5 linked regions of the Danio rerio genome follow. The protein of the gene in region 3 purifies or fractionates together with the protein of the main gene of each other region. This does not show direct contact. Links are inferred from orthologs where the notes say so. Each region holds a gene or a part of one and is shown on either strand. Other genes may lie near its edges.

Region 1 (3,995 bases), on a different chromosome or scaffold from region 3:
AATGGCCCAGGTGGAAAATATTTTTATTTGACCCATCAAAAATATTAAAAAAGCCTAAAATCTGGATTTTGAGATATAAGACATTTGAAGACCTCGCAGAAACTCTGTAGTCGATGCCTCAGATATCAGATTTTCAAAAGTTGCACATCAGAAGTGGTATATTAAATTTAAGACTGAGATATTTTTAAGACCATTATGAATGAAATTTTAGACTTACAAAGGGCTAAAGGCTAAGGAATTTTTCAAATGGCCCAGATGGAAAAAAAAAAATTATTTGACCTATCAAAAACATTTATTACAATTTAATACATTTAATAATACAGTAATAATAAACAATTTATATACTTTAGATTTTATTTCTTAGCTAAATGTTTTAAATATTGTGTAAAAACAAGCAAGCTCTGCTTGTCTCCATACACTTTTTTTTCCCCGAACATAATATTTCTTTAAAATAAAAAAATGAACAAACGGTTTGAAAACTATAATAAACAAAATCCATTGGCAACAGTCTGTCCAGGTCGGTGTACTCAGGAGAACATTTAAACATGTTATTGTAAGGAAAGTAACTAAACCATTATGATAAAGTTTCAAAAATTACCTTTTAAATAAAGTTTAAAGTTATATTGAGATGATTGTTGGTGAATGTATGGGTTTGGGCCAGATTGAGCAGCAATAGTTGAACAAAGGAAATTTAGACCTGTTTAAAAAAAAAATAATTTAAGACCTACAACACAATATTGTAGTAAATTTAAGACTTCAAAGATTAAAATCTGGATTTTGATATTTAAGACATTTGAAGACTTTTAGACCTCTCAGAAACCCTGATAGAAGTGCAGTTAGTTTTATATTCAGATATTCAGACATTCTTCTTAATAATATAATTTTCAGAAAAGTATTCTTTGCTAATTCTAAATAAAGAAATAATACAAGCGACCAAAGACTATCAAAGTACAACACTGTTTACAGTCAATTAGACGGTGTTAATGTTGTTTAGAAGTCATACTTGCATGCTAATTCTGATCGAATGTTTAAATTAACATAATAAACAATATAGAGACTGCTAAATGAACGAATGTGTGAATATAAAAAAACTACCTTACCTCTATGAAACCCTGTACTTGATCCCTCAAATTTCATAGAGGTAAAGTTGGTTCACACATTCATTCATTTAGAAGTCTCTATATTGTTTTCCCTGTTACTTTGAATATTCGATTGGAATTAGCATGCAAGTATGACTTCAAAATAACAGTAACACTATCTAATTGACTGTAAACAGTGTTGCACTTTGATATTAATTTGCTGCTAATATGATTTCCCTATTTAAAATTTGCAAAAAACACTTTCCTGAAATTATATTAAGGAGAATGTCTGAATATCCCAATATAAAACCAACTTCACCTCTATTCAGATTTTTCAATGGTTGCGCATCAGAAGTGCTATATTTTGTATATTTTCTAACAAACCACACATTACCAGGCAGCTTTGTTCAGCTTTCAGATCATGTTTACATCTCAGTTAACTTAACCACACAGTTCTGACTGGTTTTGTGGTCCAGGGTATCATATTATAGCGAAGTGATTATAGAATATATGAAGAGTTCAGATGCAAAAACCTCAAAGCTATCTGAGATGTTCTCCTAAACTGAACATTTATTTCAGCCTCTTGTTTATGTTCAGTTTTTTTCACTTTAAAGGCAATGTTAATAACTTATTTGTCACTATTAAAGTAAAATTACCTAGCCTAAACACAGGAGTTGGAGAAAAATGGTCATTTTAGAAGAAAATATCAGATGTCTTTGATAGGTTTTTGCATCTAAACCCTTCATATGTAAAACAATAAGCATAAAGCACAATAATTTTCTTCAGGAAACGAGTCATCAGACCCTTTAAACACAATTTAGACTCAAGTTTACAACAAAGTAACACTTAAGTTGATGCTAACAGTTCTGTTTCCCACCTGCAGCATGTCTTAGTACGAGCTAAGCTAGCTTACATGCTACATCTCACACAACTTCTGCATCCTCGAAAAACACACCAGCCATAAACCAATACAAGAACATGAACGAAACACACTGTCTGTGTGTTTAACGTGTGTTTATGCTACACACGAGATTTATTATGAGGCGGAAATTACGTGAAAACTGGAAGCATTACATGCTAGCATGCTAACCAGTTAGCCGCTGCGCTAATCAACACATGAACGTTCAAAATAACAGCAAAGTTGAGTTATTTCTTAATAAACGAACAGAAATCACACCATAAACACTAAAACACGAACTCAACCGGCGGAGTGTGTTTATATAACGTTAACAGTTCTGTAGAGCTGAGGCCTGAGATGTGTGTGAGAGAGGATTTCAGCATCAAAGACGCACATAAACACATCAGATATGGATAAATATGATCGAATATGATCAATAATCAGATGTTGTGGTGTTTATGACACACACTGAGCTCTCCGTACCTTCCAGTTGCCGTAGAGTCGCTTGATGCGGCGGTAAAAAGCGTCTTTATCCAGACTCACCGCCATAATATCACATCAACACACACACTGAAGTCCAGCAGCGCGCGCGCACGCACACACACACACACTCTCACTCACTCACACACACTTATACACACTTTCACTCTACTGTTTCTGTTCTTCACAGCACGACACACTCGATACACGCTCAGAAAAATAACGACGGCGAGACAAATTCAAAAATATTCAAATTCAAATTTTAAAAAGACGGTTACTACGGTTTAAAATGCCTGAGTGCCGTTATAAGTGCTGTCGGTCTCTTTCGCGCTGTGAATGCAGTGAATAATCACGCATGTGCGTCCGCTGAAGCCCCGCCCCCTCTCATATATACGCGTCCCTTTAACATTTATTTCCATTTATTAAAACACGCGTTCATTTTGAGCACATCTAGCTTACTTCACAAACTTGTAGGCTGTCCATTTAATTATTATTTATTTATTTCAATTATAAATGCATATATTTATTTAATTATGCTGCCATTTTGTGACTGTTTACAAATGTTCAATTGTTATTATGTGCTAAACATCGTGATCATCCAAAAAGTTCAAAATGCTGAGCTCAAGCTACACACGAGACGGGCATCTGTGCTTGTTTAGTAACTATATCCGCATGTAGGTTGGATTTTAATCGCATGTGCGGTGTTTATTACGCTTTTGTTTTCCTGCGTTTCCCTCCCTCACGGAAAACTCCCGCCCTGGCAGTGACGTCATGTAGGATACGTCCAATAAAATCTACGTTAATGTGGTCACGTGATGAGCTCTGTCTTGAAATCCCCGCCCTGGAGGGAACCTCATCGCGTTCTTGACGTTCACGCGCACGGCTTCTTTCCCGCCATCTAGTGTCACTTAAAAGCGCGCGAACTCCAGCAGAGCACGTGGGTTTGGCGCGCTTGAAGCAGAGTGAGGAGAGCGCTGAATTATTTACAGTCTCCATTATATTTCTCTGTGGGGTTTTTTTGGGAAAAAATAAGTGGGTAACAAAATAACAATTAGATGATTATTGAAATATTCCATTAGTTTTTTTAAACATTTAAATAATACATTTAAATTAATTCTAACATTTAAATAATATATAAAATTTTATTTTAACATTTAAATAATAAATTTCATTTTATTTTAACATTTAAATAATAAATACAATTTTATTTTATCATTTAAACAATAAATTACATTTTATTGTAAAATTTAAATAATAAATAAAATTTTATTTTATCATTTAAACAATAAATTACATTTTATTGTAAAATTTAAATAATAAATAAAATTTTATTTTATCATTTAAACAATAAATTACATTTTATTGTAACATTTAAATAATAAATACAATTTTATTTTATCATTTAAATAATAAATTACATTTTATAGTAACATTTAAATAATAAATTGCATTTTATTTTAACATTTAAATGATAAATTAAAATTAATTTTAACATGAAAAATAATAAATTACATTTTATTTTAACATTTAAATAATAA
Region 2 (3,926 bases), on a different chromosome or scaffold from region 3:
TTATGCCTTGGTATAAATAGAAAGTTTCATTTTTATTAGTCGTACAATATTATAAACTTAATAAAAGCATGTTTAACCGGAAGAAATGAAAAAAGAAAGAGCTCGCCAAAAATATTGGATGTCCTTGCGTTGCAAGCCATTTGATTCAATGTTTGTCGCCATGCTTTTCAGGTTAAAAACAAATAGGTGGATATGTTATTTAATTATTTATTTATCTTTGGACATAATGCTGTCTACACTTTTTATTATGCGAACTATAGGCTAGCATGAGCGTATGATGGTTTGTGTCTGTAGCCTTTTATTGAAGTTCCCATTGACTAGCTAATAATAAATAATAATAATAAATAAACTTAAAAGATACAGAAATAAAATTTTAAATGATTAGAATCTCCAAACTACATGAATGACCATGTGCTATTGAGAATTATAAGTACTTGAGTGCATTAATAAGGTTACCACCTAAAGTAGCCTAGGCTATGCAGTGATGCAGTCTTTAAACATTTTAAACACGATTGAGTAATTCAACCACGTCTACGTTGCCAGTCTGTTGTGCCACATCCACTGGTCGTAAATCGCAGTGATCTTTTGTATTGGGGTCGGCGCCGAAGCGGATTAAAAGCCGCACGGTGTCAATGAATCCGGTTCTGGCAGCGTCGTGCAGAGGTGTGCTCCCTGTGTCGGGGTCAGGCACATTAGGGTCCGCTCCCTGTTCCAGCAGCACAAGAGCCAAAGGTGCGTTACCCATCATCATCACCTGGAGAGGGGGAAAATTGCTGTCTCATGAAAAAATAAACGCCAGTAACGTCATGATGTCACTGTAAAGAAGTTTGTTTAATCAATAATTTTACTGCCATCACTCGAAATCTGGAAAGTAGATACTTTTTGGTTAAATAGGAACGAAAGCAGTGCACATGCTGGCACTGAACATTGCTGTGCATGATGCATTACTCTTTTAGCCTATCAATAAATTATTCACGGGCAGTAAATCAATTAAATGCAACAAATTGTGTTGTAGCTAATTCTTATTTTTCATATGATTAATTATGAAGATTCCTATAATCATTTTAAATAAAATGTATGCCATAAATATGCTTTGTTCACATTTGTGATTTTCTTAAACATCTTTCGTTTAATTGACATTTTTCTGAGGCAATTCATGCTCGTCAGAAGTTTTACAATTGCCTAATCTTTTACGATTTCTGGATGTATGCTGTCCATCTGTTTAAAGTGTGCTAAAAGATATCTATACGCACTTTATTGTAGGCTACCTCTTCGGCTTTTGATGTCCCGTAACCGAGAGCATGAACCGTAAAACCATTGGACATTGTGAAAATTAGATGAAAACTTTCACACCAAATATTATAATAATAGGCCTACACGATTATAAAAACAAGCAAAAATAAGTATGGTCTAAAATATATACTCCATTAGTCTATGACTGTGCTAGTGGTGGCTGATTATTTTGGTCAATATAGGCCAACTGTACAAATGTCAAAATATTAAACGTACATTCGTAAAAACAAGCATGGCAATAAGAGGAAAAGGGTTTTCGCAGTGATGCCCTTCTGGTTCCGCACAGAAAACCTATTACAAAGCTTCCAAAAGAAGTATTTTTATTGTCAAAAAATGAAATAAACATTTTAATAGTTTAAAGGCACATTTTTCAAAAATTTTCTCCATAGATGCAAAAGGTTCTTCTTAAAACCATCGATGCCAACAAAGCTTTCGGGAGTGAATTAGCAAGTAGTGTGCCATTCTTCTCGCACATAGAGATATGATTTAATAGTTTAAAATTTATCTGAAATTAAGATCTATAAAATGTCTTATTTATTTATTGTTATGTATATAAATCTATCTATCTATCTCTTATATATAATTGTAAACATTTGGTTTTTATACACAGTTATAGTACATTGGGACTTTCGTTTTCAATAAGATTTTAGTTTTCTTTGAATAATTTGAACTTTGACAATACATCCAAAACTCCTTGTCTTATTTCGGACTAATTTCTAAGAATGTAGCTATAAGTTAAAATTATAATGTTAAAATTAATGACATTACTAAAAGATAGAAAGTGTTGTTAGTATTATATAGGTTGATAACACGCTATTGGTAAACATGTTTCAGGCCGTTTAAGTAGCCTAAAAGGTTCTTAAACATGCTAAAATGAGTAAAATAAATACACAAATAGCCTAATATTTAAAAAAAAAAAAGAAAAGTAAATCCCATATAGTCAAACAGGTGTGAAAATATGAAATAGCCTAAATTTGTTAAATAATATGACCTTTAATACAAAATAAGTCTTTGAATTGTATGTTACTAATTTAATGTTACATATCTGCAATTAATCTTATTTATTTATTTGCATTTGTTTATTTCCGTTGTTTATTCTTAAAGCGCGTCTAAACCTACCTGTATAGGCGTTCTTCTAAATTTGTTAACCACATTGGCATTCACTCCGTTAGAAAGTAAAAACTGAACATGGGAAATGTTTCCGGTGGCTGCTGCTGTGGTCAGTTCATCCTCGACGTTCATCATCTTTATTGATTTTCGAAATTAATTCGCTTCACAGGTAAAACCAAATGATGATGATACTGCGAAAACAATCAGTTCAACGCTGTAATTTATTTTTATCGGTCTCCATGAATAACATGTTCCAATATAATGCGTAAATAAGCGAAACTGACTCGTTTATCAAAGTGTTGTGTCTTAAAATAATTTTTCGTAGCGAGATATTTGTTCGGACTTGTCTCTGTCATAAACGTCACAGCAAAACCGTGGTGCAGTACTGTCATACTGCGCCTGCGCACAACAGCTGAGTCAGGAAGACATGAGTTTACGACACAGTAGGAGAGGCTGCAGAGAAACAGAAATTAGGTTCTGCTAATGTTTTATGGCTAATGTAACTGGCATTAGCCTGCTTTTAGATCACAAGAAGTTTTTTTATTCTTTTTTTCGGGTACATAAGCATATCACAACGCTAATTATGCTAACATAATTGGGTTTTGTGCCATGGAGAAGTTACTCTTCGGGAATAGGCTAACGTTACCAGGAAAAATCTCTCGTTTTTCAAGAGTAAAGTTATTTTATGGATTTTGATTAAGACGCGATGTTAGCTAGGCCTGTAGAGATTAAGTTTGACTTGGCTACTTTAAAGTATATTATTTAGCCATTATGCTGTGTGGGGCGCTTAAGTTAAACTATATTTTTGATCCACATAAATTATAACAAAAAAGCATATACATACATTCGTGGTAGCCTATATTTATATTTTTTTCATAATGGTTGTTCTGTTTTTGATTGTAGATGAACATAAATCTATTTTCTGCACGATAGAAAGGACGCGAATGGCCATAATTTTGCCCAAACATCGTCTGACTTACAGTTTTGTAATGCTATTTCCCCATCACACGACTGTAGCTAAACTATAGCCTGTATCCAGAAACAAGGTATTAAACAATTGTAGCAAATAGTTTTTAATTTTAGCAGTGAGTTTGTTGCCTCTCTAATACGTTGAAAATAAGTAAAAAGATAAAGGGTCCTGTGGCTGTGTAGATCATTTACATAAAGTAAAAATCACATTCTGAGATGCACCTGTTTAAAATGAAGAACAGTGTGCTTTTGTATTTAATTTTCTAACTTATTCATGTTTTGATGTTGTTAACATGTTAATAATATTGGTTAATGTGCATGCAAAATAGATACTAAAATATGAAATAGTAAATAAAATAATCATAACAAACCAACGCAGTACAATATTAAAGAAAAAAAATAGTTGGCAAAGCCCCACTGGCTAAGTGTTAATAATAGAAAATTTAATTTAAATGTCATAGAAGCAACGATTAAAAATGAATTATTTTACTTAGTTTTGTTGAATAGATATTAAACAACATGTAGAAATAGAATAGTTGAACTATGTAACTAAA
Region 3 (4,035 bases):
TGTAAATTAAACTCAATATTCTGTTAATAAAATAATGCTGGGTTCCACATGAATCCTTCTTGTTGCCCAAACACAAATTAAGTTAACTTTAATTGGAATTGAAATTTAAGTAAAATCAACATAACAATTAAGTTGTCCCAAAAAAAAACCTTAAGAATTTTGTTGTTTCAACTAATTTTTATGTATTTAAAGAAGCAGCAATTTATTTATTTTTTAAATGTGCATGTTTTGTACTTTCAAGGACTTAAATATCAAGGCAAATTATTTATTTTTCATCGGCTCAAGTGATGAAATTTGTATGTGAAACTATTGCCCTCCGTTTTTTAACAGGATGAATGAACATTTAATGCGAATTGTTAGTTTGATTAAAGCTATTTCTCCTTGTTTAGAAGAGAATTTTAATTAATAGACTTTCTTCAAGACAAATACATTTTGTGCCAGCTTATAAAAAATTGCTTTTATTCAGATAGAAAAGATTAAGGCAACTTATTCATATCAATGATGAAAAATTTTTATAAACGGTAACAAAGCATATTTGTCTTGTTAAAGAAAGTCAATTCTCTTCTAATCAAGAATCTATAGTTTTAATCTTAACAACTCTTCCTATAAAATGTTTATTCATCCAACAAGAAGAATTTAGGGTAATGGTTCACATCTACAATTTGATCACTTGACCCAGTGAAAAATAAATAAGTTGCCATAAACAATATTTTCTTTCATTGGGTCAAATGCTAAAATTTAGACATGAAACCATTACCCTAAATTATTTAAATAGGATGAATGAAAGCTTTTTCCAGTCCAAGATGCAGCCCATAAAAAAAAGAAAACAATACTGGATTATATGAAAGATTTTAGTTTGTTTTGAGGTTTGGACTAAACAGCTAAGACCAAGAAAGCTCTTCATCTGAAACAAACAAAAACAACAGCAACATGACAGGGTTATGTTGTAGGATTTTATTTTTTAAATAACCTACACTTGAGGAAAAAGAAAATAAAAAAAGAAAGAAAACGTGATCAGAGGTTATGGCATGAGCTCGATAAGTTGGAAAAGGTTACATGGCTGCCACTAACAACATTTGATTTCATACTGGAGTGAGGGGAAAGAAAAATCAAAAGAAAACAAAATGAAGAGTGTTAAAAGTCCATGTTAAAATAAGTCTATTCTTAAAATCTTGACACAATTACAAAATAAAACAGCTTCAATCATAACAGACTGTTTTTGGCAAAGTTGATTTCCCTCACATAACCCATCTGAAACAAACCCCTTTCGCCAAACCCTGAAATAACACATCCTAATAGTGAAATCTTCAAGTAACAGATACAGGAGCTTCGCTTTTTTTTTTTTTTTTTTGTAATCTTTTTCTTTTTTTAATGTTTTATCTTATGGAAACAGTCATTACACATTAAGTTAAACCCAGATTGAGACTCAAAGCTGTAGGATACGGGAGACAAAAGTGTGGGGGGAAATAATTGGTTCACATTTACACTGGAAACAAGACCCTGATATAGAAGCTGTAAAAAAAAAAAAAAAAAAAAAAAAAAAAAAAAAAGGAAAAGGAATTCACATTCTGCATGTTTAAGGAAATATAATTGAAGCTGTAATCCCCTGCAGCTCATCCAAGCATCTTACTTTGTGGTCTGGATATCGTTTATACAAGAGTTTGAAAGAGAACAGTTCACGTAACACTCACTCAAACACACAGCTCTTCATGGTCATATTTCCCAGAAAATAATCACACCTGGTGTACACGTTTCTCTCCTAACAAGGCGTGTGGGTGTACTTAAGCGATTCTTTGATTTTTCTATTAAAATATAGAATTTATTTTAATACAGGAGGGCTAAAAATACAGCAAAACTAAAACTGAAAGGATCCACAAAGCGAGTCGTAGTTGAATACAGTAGCTAGAGGACCACGCAAGTTCAACGTTTTGTTTTTTTCCCCCCTGTGACATCCCCGGGCTCCGTTTGTCCAGAGCCCCGAGGGGGGAGACGGACAGACAAACAGTACAAGTGTTCAAAAAGGTTGAGCCGCTGATTCTCCAGTTTCTGGCTTGAGGACCATGCAACCTTGTGTACTTCATTCTCAAAAGAACGACCTGATAAAACCTACAAGATTACATGTCAAAGCCTAAAATAAAAACACAACTGATCAACGAAGAGAGAAACACAAAAGCCCGTCACTGAAATCATGACATTCAGGTCTCCTCTGGACACTACGCTCGCTTCACATCTTTTCCCTCGTCAGGTTCTCAACCTGCTGGAAATCACTGACTAAAAGTATCTATTAAAACAACATAAAAAGGATGTGGGTGGAGGGAGAAGTAAAATCTCAAACAAGATTTAAAATTCATAGTCTTTTTCAGCCATGTCAATCGCCCAGGCAAATTTCTCACGCTGAGTTTTGTTGTAGATCTTCTCTATCGGGATGCCGAACTTCTTACACCTGGAAAGACGGACATGAAACATTTTTAATTGATGGTCTGCATCATTTCACCTACACATGAAGCAGAGTGAAATTCTCCTCTCGGGCTCCTGCATGCAGCTTCAGTAATTATATCTTAATAACAACGAATAGATTCTTTTCATTGCCTTAAAGTAAATTAACTGAACAAACATAGGAGGAAATGCTCATTTCAGAAGAAAACTTTCAGATAGCAGTGCACTTGTCATGGCTTCTGAACTCTTCACATTCAGTCCAAACTGTTGTTGCACCTCTTAAAGCCCTTTCACACTGCGACGCAAGCATGCTCTTCAATCAAAACAACAGATCCCTATGGAGGTTTTCACACCAGGCTTCACCATATCACAGCACAAAGCAACATTTTGGGCTTTTTGACCGGTGCTTCAATTTTGTTCCCCCATCAGCGTGTGATGAAATGAGCGACCCAGTTAGATTTGAGCTTTGGGTCAAGTGGTCAAAGCTCCAGAAGCACAGGTGAGACTGATGGAGATTCAGTTTGAAAACTAATGCCAAAGACAAGAGTTCAGACAAAGAATAGACGCCAATTGTTTATTAAACTTGGTGTGGTTTTGATGAATTCTCTGATAAGTCAAAAGTCATAATAACAACAACAACAACAACAACAACAAATGAAAATGATTTTTTTTTTTTTTATTCGGTCGTATCTATTGCAACATAATTAAAAATTCACTATATGAGCTGAATAAATATGATTGATTGGGATGATTCTGTGGGAAAGTGCATAAAATATAATGAAATCTACGAGCACAGATACTAACAATAAAAATAAAAAAAGATACTAATAGTGTTTATTTTTTAAGAGTTGTTAAACTGTATTCAGGTGTACAATAACTGAATAATCAAATGTAAATTAATACTGCATAGTCTACGTTTTATAAAGAATTCCATAAATTCAATCGTTGTAAATTTGTCAAAGACACAAACGTTACAATTTCTTATGCCTAAATGCTTTTAAACCCCTCAGTCACAGGCATCAAAAAACAAGGCAAAACGATCAATTATAATCCAGACTCAACATACTTGCGATGTGGCTATTGAATGATCACATTGCAACATCAATGCTGAAACGGAATATTTTGCAGCCCTAAAAAATATTATTATTATTATTATTATTATTATTAAGCAAAAAAAAAATTACAGAGAAAAGGGATAAATTTCATTATTTAAAGCACTAAACATTACAGCTTTAAAGTGAAGAACCAAAGACTTTTGATGATTGCATGTCTGTATGTGGTAGGGGTTAAAAGCCAAAATGAAGATATAATAATAATAATAATAATAATAAAGTATTTAATATACATTTTGTATTTATAAAATTTATAAAGTGCCAAATAAAACAGAGCAACAAGCAACAACAAAAACCAGCAGATACCCATGTTGATGAGTGCATGCGTTTCAGAAGGCATCTTCAACTAATTTGAAATGAGCAGACATTTATACACATCATTATTATGGAGGAGAAACATGCAGGCACTGGACAAGGCTGACACTTTGTAGTGCACATTAGGCATGGGATGATAACCGCTTTCAAGGTTGACTGTAGTTTGGAATGG
Region 4 (4,285 bases), on a different chromosome or scaffold from region 3:
ATATATATATATATAGATATGTATGTATATATGTGTGTGTGTGTGTGTGTATATATATATCAATAAAACCAAAATTGAGTGTAGTAACAAAACAGGATTACATTTGTTTGATTATTTTATAAACCAACAATGCTGTGTCGTGTAAACCATTATTAAAACAGTCATTCTTAAAATGACTTTAAAAGTCATTATTTAAAAGTCAAAAGCTGGTCAACGATTTGAGCAGGCAATTAAGGGTTAATGTAATAGGGTTAATGAAACTGCACTTAAATGGCACAAATGCTCCAACTAGCAACGGTTTGGCAGTTTGAATATGATTACAGGTTATACAATCACCTCATCAGCATCCCGGTCCTCTGCATCTAGCTCTTCATCCTCATCAGAGTCCAGCTCTGGTCCGATATAATTTCCAAACTCGTCATAAAGATCAGTCTCCATGGCGACGAGCTCTGATAGGACAAAACAGATACAAATGACATAACTTACTTTGGTGCAGAGGAACTATTCGGAATGCAGATCAACTCATTTAAAATGCAGCAGTGGTTCATTATTCTGTCTGTTTTATTTTCTAGTGTTGGGAAAAACGTTACTGTAACACTTTTAGTATTACTGCACAAAATGCTGATTGAGGTAAAATTGGTTTAAATTCTTAGCGTTTCTGTAAAATTTGCTTAAATGCCTAACAAAATGCATACCCAAAGTAAATTGCATGCTATTTTTAACCATTTTTAGTATTGGTCTTTGTCAGGTGACAAATTCGATTGTAAAATTATTGATTGTTAAAATATTTAAAAATCACAAATGTTACAACTAACTTTAGCTGACTAACTCACCCCTTGTAAAAAAAGTTTATTTGTGGGTGTCTTTCTAAAAACAAATAAAGGTTTTTGTTTAAAACATTGCAGGATTTTTCTATATTTAGAGTATTTATTTGATGTTAAATGTTTTAAAACCCCGGATTTGGCATGGGCTGGTATAAGATTCTGATACTATGATAATCTTGGATATAAATATCACGGTTTTAGGTATTGCGATTACTGCTCTGAAATATATTCCTTTTAAATGTCTGGGTAAAAAAATAAAAACGTTTTCCCCTTTGTACACAATATATTTTATTTGGGAAACATTCATAATATTTTGGAGCAGTAAACATGTCAGGCTAAATAATTCAAATGAATTATTGACTTCTGCTTCCTTCATTTGTTTCAAAAATACAGATTTGTAAAAAATTTAAAACGCAATCTTTGAATATCTTTTCTGCTGTCCTAAAAAAAAACTAAGAAAAAAGTAAATTAAAAAATCTTACTCATACCCTAGGAACAATATAGCAGAAAATTGACGGTTTTAAAACCTTGACTTTTCTAAACCGCGGTATAGCTTAAAAAATGGTTATCGTCTCATGCCTACTCCAGACTGCAGCTTAATGAAACCGTATTTTTAAAAATCTGTTTTTTTTATTTTATACGAAAAAGGGATAAATACATTAGAAGTCAATTTTATTCTATGAGGTAACTATGCATTGTTTTGGTCTCTTTTGAAAGGTGACACACTAAGGTTTATTCCCTAATAGTCCGAATCACTGTAAATGTTTTTGAATAATTAAACTTAATTAAACTCTGCTTAAAACTTTTATCTTAATATTCGAACATTCAGACTTTTTTCTTAATAATATAATTTCAGTAAAGTATTCTTTACAAATTCTAAATAAGAAATTCATATTAGCTACCGATGACTATCAAAGTACAACATTGCTCACAGTCAAAGTCTTCACAGTTTTGAATTCATACTTGGAAGCAATTTCAGACTGAATATTAAAAGTAACATTGAGGTAAAGTTGGTTTTCTATTCACACATTCTCATTGATAATATCATCTCAGAAAAGTATTCTTTGCAAATTATAAACGGGGTAATCATATTAGCAGCCAGTGACTATGAAAGTACAACATTGTTCAGTCAATCAAACAGTGCTAATGTTGTTTTGAAGTCATACTTGTATGTGATTTCAAACCAAATATTGAAAGTAGCCTTGTAAACAATATAAGAAACATGTCACAAGTTGTCACTGAATGAATGTGCTAATATAACCAAGTTTACCTTAATTTGCATCCAACCAATGTGCTAGTTAGTTTTGCGTTTTGGATAGAAACTGGTAACGTTAAATTAATACCTTCTCTATATTGTACTTTGAATATTCAGCCTGAAATAGAAAGTAAGTTTAACTTCAAAACAGCGTTAGCACAATTTAATTCTATTAACTCTGTGAACAATGTTGTACTTTGAAAGTCTATGGCTGCTAATATGAGTTCACTACTTGCAGAGAATCATATCTTTTTAAATTATAGCTATTATTAAAGGGAAAGTCCGAATATAAAACCAACTTTACCTCAATGTAAACACCAAAGGGAACGTGACACAAGTTGTCAATGAGCAAAAACTTTACCTCAATAAAATGCTGTAGTGTCGAACATGTATCTTTAAGAGCCCAATAAACACAGCAAACATTAAAGTGAATAAAATTACCTCATAACATACTGAAAATCGCAATAAATATAAAAGATTCCCTTGTGAAACTGCCTCAAGTAAAGCCGATATTGCAACTGATCGCGCAGCAAACGTACGACAGCGAATGAATGAATAATTGCTTCGTGTAAATAATTATTTCCGTCGTAAATATAGTGCGTATTATAACAGTGTTATACCTGTGTGCGAGTCTTGTTTTTAATCCCGGTGTGATTTTATTGTTACAAAATGATCCCTCGTACTGTTTCAAACCATGCACCGCGAGGTCCTCGCACAGCTCAACGTAGGTCGTACGTTGGTGACGTCATCAGCGTTCGCCAAGCATATTGCCTGTTTGAAAAAAAAAAAACAGGCTACTAATACATGTCGCAGTCAGCCAAGATTTACTAAAAAAAATGTTTTTTTAAGTTTTCATATATTTAAAAATCAATTTTAAAATTTTGACCACTATTTTTTAATGTTGGAGTAAAAACAAAAACGTAAATAAACATTGAGTGACTCCATAGATATCTTATTATATATATATACACACACATATGGAGTGTATTATATATGTATGGAATATATATCTATGAAGTGGCTCAAATAGATATTGGCTTCAAACACTTAAGGGTAATCTTAAGTATGATTTACAGCTTTAATTATTATACAAAAAACTTTTTTTGTTTTTCAGTACAAAAAGTATCTAGATCTGAATTTATCTTGACAAACTATAGCTACATACATAGGCTACTACCATGTATCATTTTCAAGTATGTACTCAAAAAGTAGGGTGACTGACAGACTTATAAGACTTAAAATTTGCAAATGTAGCCTACTAATAGACAACCAAACTCTGTTATAGCTAATATAAGCTCTCTGAATAAAAAAATCTAAATCAAAACAAAACCAGTTAAACATTTTTAATTCTAGTTTTTTTTATAGCTAGACAATTTCTTCCAACAATAAGGTGCATATCTGTAGGCTGAAAATGGTCATAAAATGAAGTGAACACTATTAAAAACAAAACATTGTTTGACAAGGAATGGATGGGAAAAGAGATTTGTCAGTATCCCAATTAATTGACAGCAATAAAGGTATTACTTCATATGAAAATGTTTGTACTAAATATAATTTCTAATTCAGTAAAGTTTAAATCTTTAAAGCCATTTCTATCTCATTTGTCTGTCTAATTAAGGAAATACTTTCTTACTCTACCCTTATAACCCCAACTGTGCCTCCTGTGTTAATTGAAGTCTGTGATTTCAAAGAAAGAAATCTATGTAACAACATTTTATATCCATTTTATAGGATATAAAATGTTGTTACCAATCATTGGTTTTTACATAGATTTCTTTCTTTGAAATCACAGACTTCAGTTAACACACGAGGCACAGTTGGGGTTACAAGAGTAGAGTAAGAAAGTATTTCCTTATTTAGACATAATTAAGGAAAAAATAATAATTATAAAAAAAACTCAACTTCACATAAATTATCTAAAAAGATACCATTCACGTACTTAAAATTAAATATTTAAATATTTAAAGTTTCCTCTGTCTCCAATAACTAAAAAAGTTCATTTTAAAGTTTTAAGTGGGATGAATCTGTCAAGTAAATATTTAGGAATTAGATTTGGATTTGAGTCTAATAAATGTGTGTTTTGTGATGATATTGAAACAACAGATCATTTGTTTTTTCACTGTATGTTTGTGGATGCATTATGGATGCTTCAGATTCCACACCTCAGGATCTTTAAGGGATTTTATATATGAAAGAATCTCATTAT
Region 5 (4,227 bases), on a different chromosome or scaffold from region 3:
GGAAGCTTGACGATATTTTATATTTGTGCATATACATTAAATTAGTCTGGACTGAAGCCAAATCTGGAGCTTATATAACTAAATTTGTAGTCCAAATGTATAAGTTAGGGAAAATATTAAATAATTTTTCAAAGAGCAAAATCCAAGAGAAACAAAAAAATGTATAAAATTTTGTGAAATTTTGTAGTTTGTAATTTTCCCCCAATATTTCGCAATAATTGAAGCATATTTTTTCTTTCTATTTCTAAAGATGTTTAGTGACTAAAATATTATTTTATTAAATATATCTGTTTCATCTGTTTTGTTCAAATGCACCAAAATATATTACCTATATTTCTTGATAAATGGGTAAAATATTCATTTTCTAAATGGGGTGTATTCACAATTATGCTGAGCACTGTGTAAACATATGACACAAAACATATAACTAGGCCAACGCGGAATCTGCACACGCAGAATTCCACATAATTTTAGACCATCATTGATTCTGTTTATTTACTTGTGTAAATGTTTTAAAATGTATATTTATTCAGTTTGTAAATTCATTTTAGGATAATTATTGGCTAATGTGAAAATATTCGTATGATTTATTTACAGTACAGTTTGTAAAGTATTATTTTCTGTCTTTTAGTAGAGATATTATATGAGACACTTGCTTTGTTTACCAAATAAAGTGGATCAAATTGAATTTGCATTGTAAACATTAAATACAAGTTAGAAAGCTATTATTTTTTAATTCATATATGAAGGTTTTAGTTTTGATACTCCCAAAATTATTCCATAAATCCGCAGATTTTTAACAAAATTCTTTGCAGAAAAAGTTAAAAAAATGTCCGCAGATTTTTTCTTGCCCTACTTACAGAGGCGCAAAAAAGGGGTGTGCACTATATGCGGGGCTTAGGGGCGCCATACATGGGGGGAGCGGGGGTGTGCCAAAACTATTTTTGAAATTATTAATACTTAAAGTTTTTATTAATCAAAATAAATAAATATTTTTTGTTAAGAATGTTTATTTTGCGTTTAAATTACATGATAATATTGTATTTTATTAGATAAAGAAAATCATACTGCCTAAAGGCGCATAAAATCAAAATCAAATCAAATGGCGCCTAAAAATAAAAGGTATTATTATTATTATTATTAATTTTATTATACCACCCCAACTTGAACCCGCATACCTTTAAGTAAATTTGCAATTGCGCCCCTGCCTACTTAAAAGATTTTTCTTCAGTGTTGAGGAGCTTTGAGTTCGATTAGCTTTGTCTGCGCATATTCTCCACTACTAGAGGAATGTGGGCTCGATTGGTTTGGGCTGGTATTCTGCGCGGGTGCTTCTGCACGCGGACTGACTGCGCGCTATTCCTCATTGCGCTGTAACGTGAGTTGTCGGCCTGTCTGACTAGAATTAGTCTGCAAACTTCTCCTTTTAACAGAAATATCTGCAGAGATGGCCGACTCACAGGACGACAAGCTGTACAAAGCCGAATATGCAAAAAGCGGACGCGCCTCATGCAAGAAATGCAAAGACAACATTGCTAAGGACTCGCTGAGGATGGCCATCATGGTGCAGGTGAGGGAATTATTGTTGTGTGCAACTTTTTGGAATTAGCTCTGCTTCAGAAACATCCTTAAAATTCTATATTTGGTGGAAATGCGTTTGGTTGTGCAGGTATGCGTGGCGAAATGTATAGTAAGTGTACGTACACAAATGAATGAACAGGTTTCTAAGGCCCAAGATGAGTTTAAAGGGATAGTTCACCTAAACATTTTAAATTTGCTCACCCCCAAATGGTTTTAAATTTTTATGAGTTTGTTGTTTTCTGTTGAATACATAAGGAGATATTTTGAAGGAAGCTGAAAACCTGTACCCATTCACTTCCATTGTAGAAAAATACTATAGAAGTCAATGGTTACAGGTTTTCAGCTTTTTCCCAACTGTCTTCTTTTGTGTTTACTGGAGAAAGAATCTCTAATAGGTTTGTAACAGGTGAAGAATGAGCTAATGATGACAGCATTTTCATTTTTGGGTGAACTATCCCTTTAAATGGTCCTCTGTTATCAAATAATAAGCAGTGTTTTCCTATGAATATTAGCTTTAATATAGCTGTGTAATTAGCACAGTATTAGCTGGAAACCAGTTTAATTTGAGAAAACATTAAGGAAATAAATAAAGCTGCACTATTTCAATGCAATAAAGCTCAGTAAAATGTTTAAATTGACTAAAACCTGTTTATTTTCAATACAAGTATATTTATTTCTGAATTCATCATTACTCGCCACCTTATTATTGATTTATTATGCAGCTATATAGATCGTAATATTTCCTAAAACCGCATTTATTTACTAGGGTACACTTTCAGCTAATTAATGTTGAATTATTTAAATGTACTTTTAAAAATAAATGTAACTACCATACTTAAAGTAGATCAGCAGTGATTTCCTATGAATATTAGCCTAAATATAGCTGTGTGATTTTCTGGAATCCAGTTTAATTTGAGAATACATTAAGAAAATAATCAAAGCTGCACTATTTCAATGCAATGAAGCTCATTATTATTTTTAATTGTCTATATCATGTTTATTTTCAATTTAAGTCTTATTAATTTTCTGAATTCATCATTACTCATTGCCTTATTATTGATTTATTATGCAGCTATATAGATAGTAATATGTGCTAAAACCACTTTTATTTACTAGGCTACACTTTCAGCTAATTAATGTTTAATGATTAGGTGTACTTTTTTTAAGTAAACGTCCATACTTAAAGTAGATTAGCAGTGCTTTTCTATGAATATTAGCTTAAAATAACTGTGATTTGCACAAGATTTGCTGAAAACCAGTTTAATTTGAGAATACATCAAGAAAATAAACAAAGCTGCATCATATCATTGTAATTAATCTCAGTAAAATGTTTAAACTGACTAAATTCTGTTTATTTTTTATGCAAGTCAATTTATTTCTGAATTTCTTATTACTCATTGCCTTATTTTATAGATTCATTATAAGCCATAGATTGTAATATGTCAGGGCTTGCAAAGTCTGGTACCTAGATAACCCACCAGGCTTTTTGGTAGCCCGAATGAAAAAACAATAGCCCCAGATTTTGTAAGCCCTGTATGTGCAAAAAACACTTTTATTTACTTTCACCTAATTAATGTTTAATGTTTAAGAGTGCTTTTGCTAAAAAATTAAATAAACAAACTAACATACTTGACTGAGTGAAGCAGGTCAGCAGTGATTTCCTATGAACATTAGCTCAAAACAGCGGTGTGATTTGGACAATTTCGCTGGAAACGTGTTTCATTTGAGAAAACATTTAATGAAACAAAGCTACACTAATTTAATACAATGAAGACCAGTAAAAATGTGGGTCCCACTTTAGATTAAGCAACCTTAACTAAAATGTACTCGCACTGAAATTAATAATTCATTACAATGTACTTCTTGTGTAAATATGTGTTTTTACATGATACTTATGCTTGGTTAAATACCTGCATGTAAATACATCTGTAAGTTCGTTTGTTATTTCACTGTTAATCATTGCTTATACCTTAAACCATAAAGACGCCACCAATCCAGTCCCTAAACCTACCCATATTCCACCTCAGGAGGACCAGAAGTGTTCAGCAATACATCATGAACACATTAAGTGCATTGTATTTATTTTTTCATGTAAGTACATAGTAGTTGAAAAAAAAGTGGGACCAAAATTGTTCAAATTGAGTAAGTCCTGTTTATTTTTCAGTGCAAATCTTTTTTTTTTCTTCTGAATGTCTTACTATTTGACTTGTTTGACGATTTATTAATGTATTGTTTACATTTGTACAATATTTCTGCACCATTAAAGGGGATAGTTCACCCCAAAATTAAAATTGTCTTATTTACTCTGCCTTTAATTGTTCCAAACCTTTAAATTGTTCTGTTGAGCACAAAAGAAGATAGATAGATAGATAGATAGATAGATAGATAGATAGATGGATAGATGGATGGATGGATGGATGGATGGATAGATAGATAGATAGATAGATAGATAGATAGATAGATAGATAGATAGATAGATAGATAGATAGATAGATAGATAGATGGATGGATGGATGGATGGATTGATGGATGGATAGATGGATGGATGGATGGATAGATATTGTAATCATTGCTGTAAAATGCGATATGATTATTTAAATGATGTGCACGCTTTCATTTTCACTGCTAAGTGCTGTTCATACTTAG

The links. Proteins that work in one complex are often made in the same cells at the same time.
Region 1: the proteins of top1a (region 3) and supt16h fractionate together in Homo sapiens (co-fractionation; 3 studies listed by BioGRID and IntAct, with this or other methods). This does not show direct contact. The link is inferred for Danio rerio from reciprocal best matches to the Homo sapiens genes TOP1 and SUPT16H.
Region 2: the proteins of top1a (region 3) and cdkn2a/b purify together in Homo sapiens (affinity purification with western blotting; 3 studies listed by BioGRID). This does not show direct contact. The link is inferred for Danio rerio from reciprocal best matches to the Homo sapiens genes TOP1 and CDKN2A.
Region 4: the proteins of top1a (region 3) and eftud2 purify together in Homo sapiens (affinity purification with mass spectrometry; 3 studies listed by BioGRID and IntAct, with this or other methods). This does not show direct contact. The link is inferred for Danio rerio from reciprocal best matches to the Homo sapiens genes TOP1 and EFTUD2.
Region 5: the proteins of top1a (region 3) and parp1 purify together in Homo sapiens (affinity purification with mass spectrometry; 4 studies listed by BioGRID and IntAct, with this or other methods). This does not show direct contact. The link is inferred for Danio rerio from reciprocal best matches to the Homo sapiens genes TOP1 and PARP1.

The regions. Positions count from the first base shown.
Region 1 is NC_133182.1:2,044,131-2,048,125, reverse strand, and holds the start of supt16h (FACT complex subunit SPT16), read right to left. Parts: upstream 2,801-3,995; 5' UTR 2,527-2,800; coding exon 2,461-2,526; intron 1-2,460. UniProt on the Homo sapiens protein: Component of the FACT complex, a general chromatin factor that acts to reorganize nucleosomes. The FACT complex is involved in multiple processes that require DNA as a template such as mRNA elongation, DNA replication and DNA repair.
Region 2 is NC_133176.1:27,776,115-27,780,040, forward strand, and holds the start of cdkn2a/b (cyclin-dependent kinase inhibitor 2A), read right to left. Parts: upstream 2,801-3,926; 5' UTR 2,539-2,800; coding exon 2,413-2,538; intron 755-2,412; coding exon 503-754; 3' UTR 1-502. UniProt on the Homo sapiens protein: Acts as a negative regulator of the proliferation of normal cells by interacting strongly with CDK4 and CDK6. This inhibits their ability to interact with cyclins D and to phosphorylate the retinoblastoma protein.
Region 3 is NC_133186.1:27,380,819-27,384,853, reverse strand, and holds the end of top1a (DNA topoisomerase I, like), read right to left. Parts: intron 2,444-4,035; coding exon 2,341-2,443; 3' UTR 940-2,340; downstream 1-939. UniProt on the Homo sapiens protein: Releases the supercoiling and torsional tension of DNA introduced during the DNA replication and transcription by transiently cleaving and rejoining one strand of the DNA duplex.
Region 4 is NC_133178.1:15,084,021-15,088,305, forward strand, and holds the start of eftud2 (116 kDa U5 small nuclear ribonucleoprotein component), read right to left. Parts: upstream 2,801-4,285; 5' UTR 2,521-2,800; intron 2,493-2,520; exon of another isoform or gene 2,441-2,492; intron 450-2,440; 5' UTR 439-449; coding exon 337-438; intron 1-336. UniProt on the Homo sapiens protein: Required for pre-mRNA splicing as component of the spliceosome, including pre-catalytic, catalytic and post-catalytic spliceosomal complexes. Component of the U5 snRNP and the U4/U6-U5 tri-snRNP complex, a building block of the spliceosome.
Region 5 is NC_133195.1:46,952,218-46,956,444, forward strand, and holds the start of parp1 (poly [ADP-ribose] polymerase 1), read left to right. Parts: upstream 1-1,427; 5' UTR 1,428-1,447; coding exon 1,448-1,570; intron 1,571-4,227. UniProt on the Homo sapiens protein: Poly-ADP-ribosyltransferase that mediates poly-ADP-ribosylation of proteins and plays a key role in DNA repair.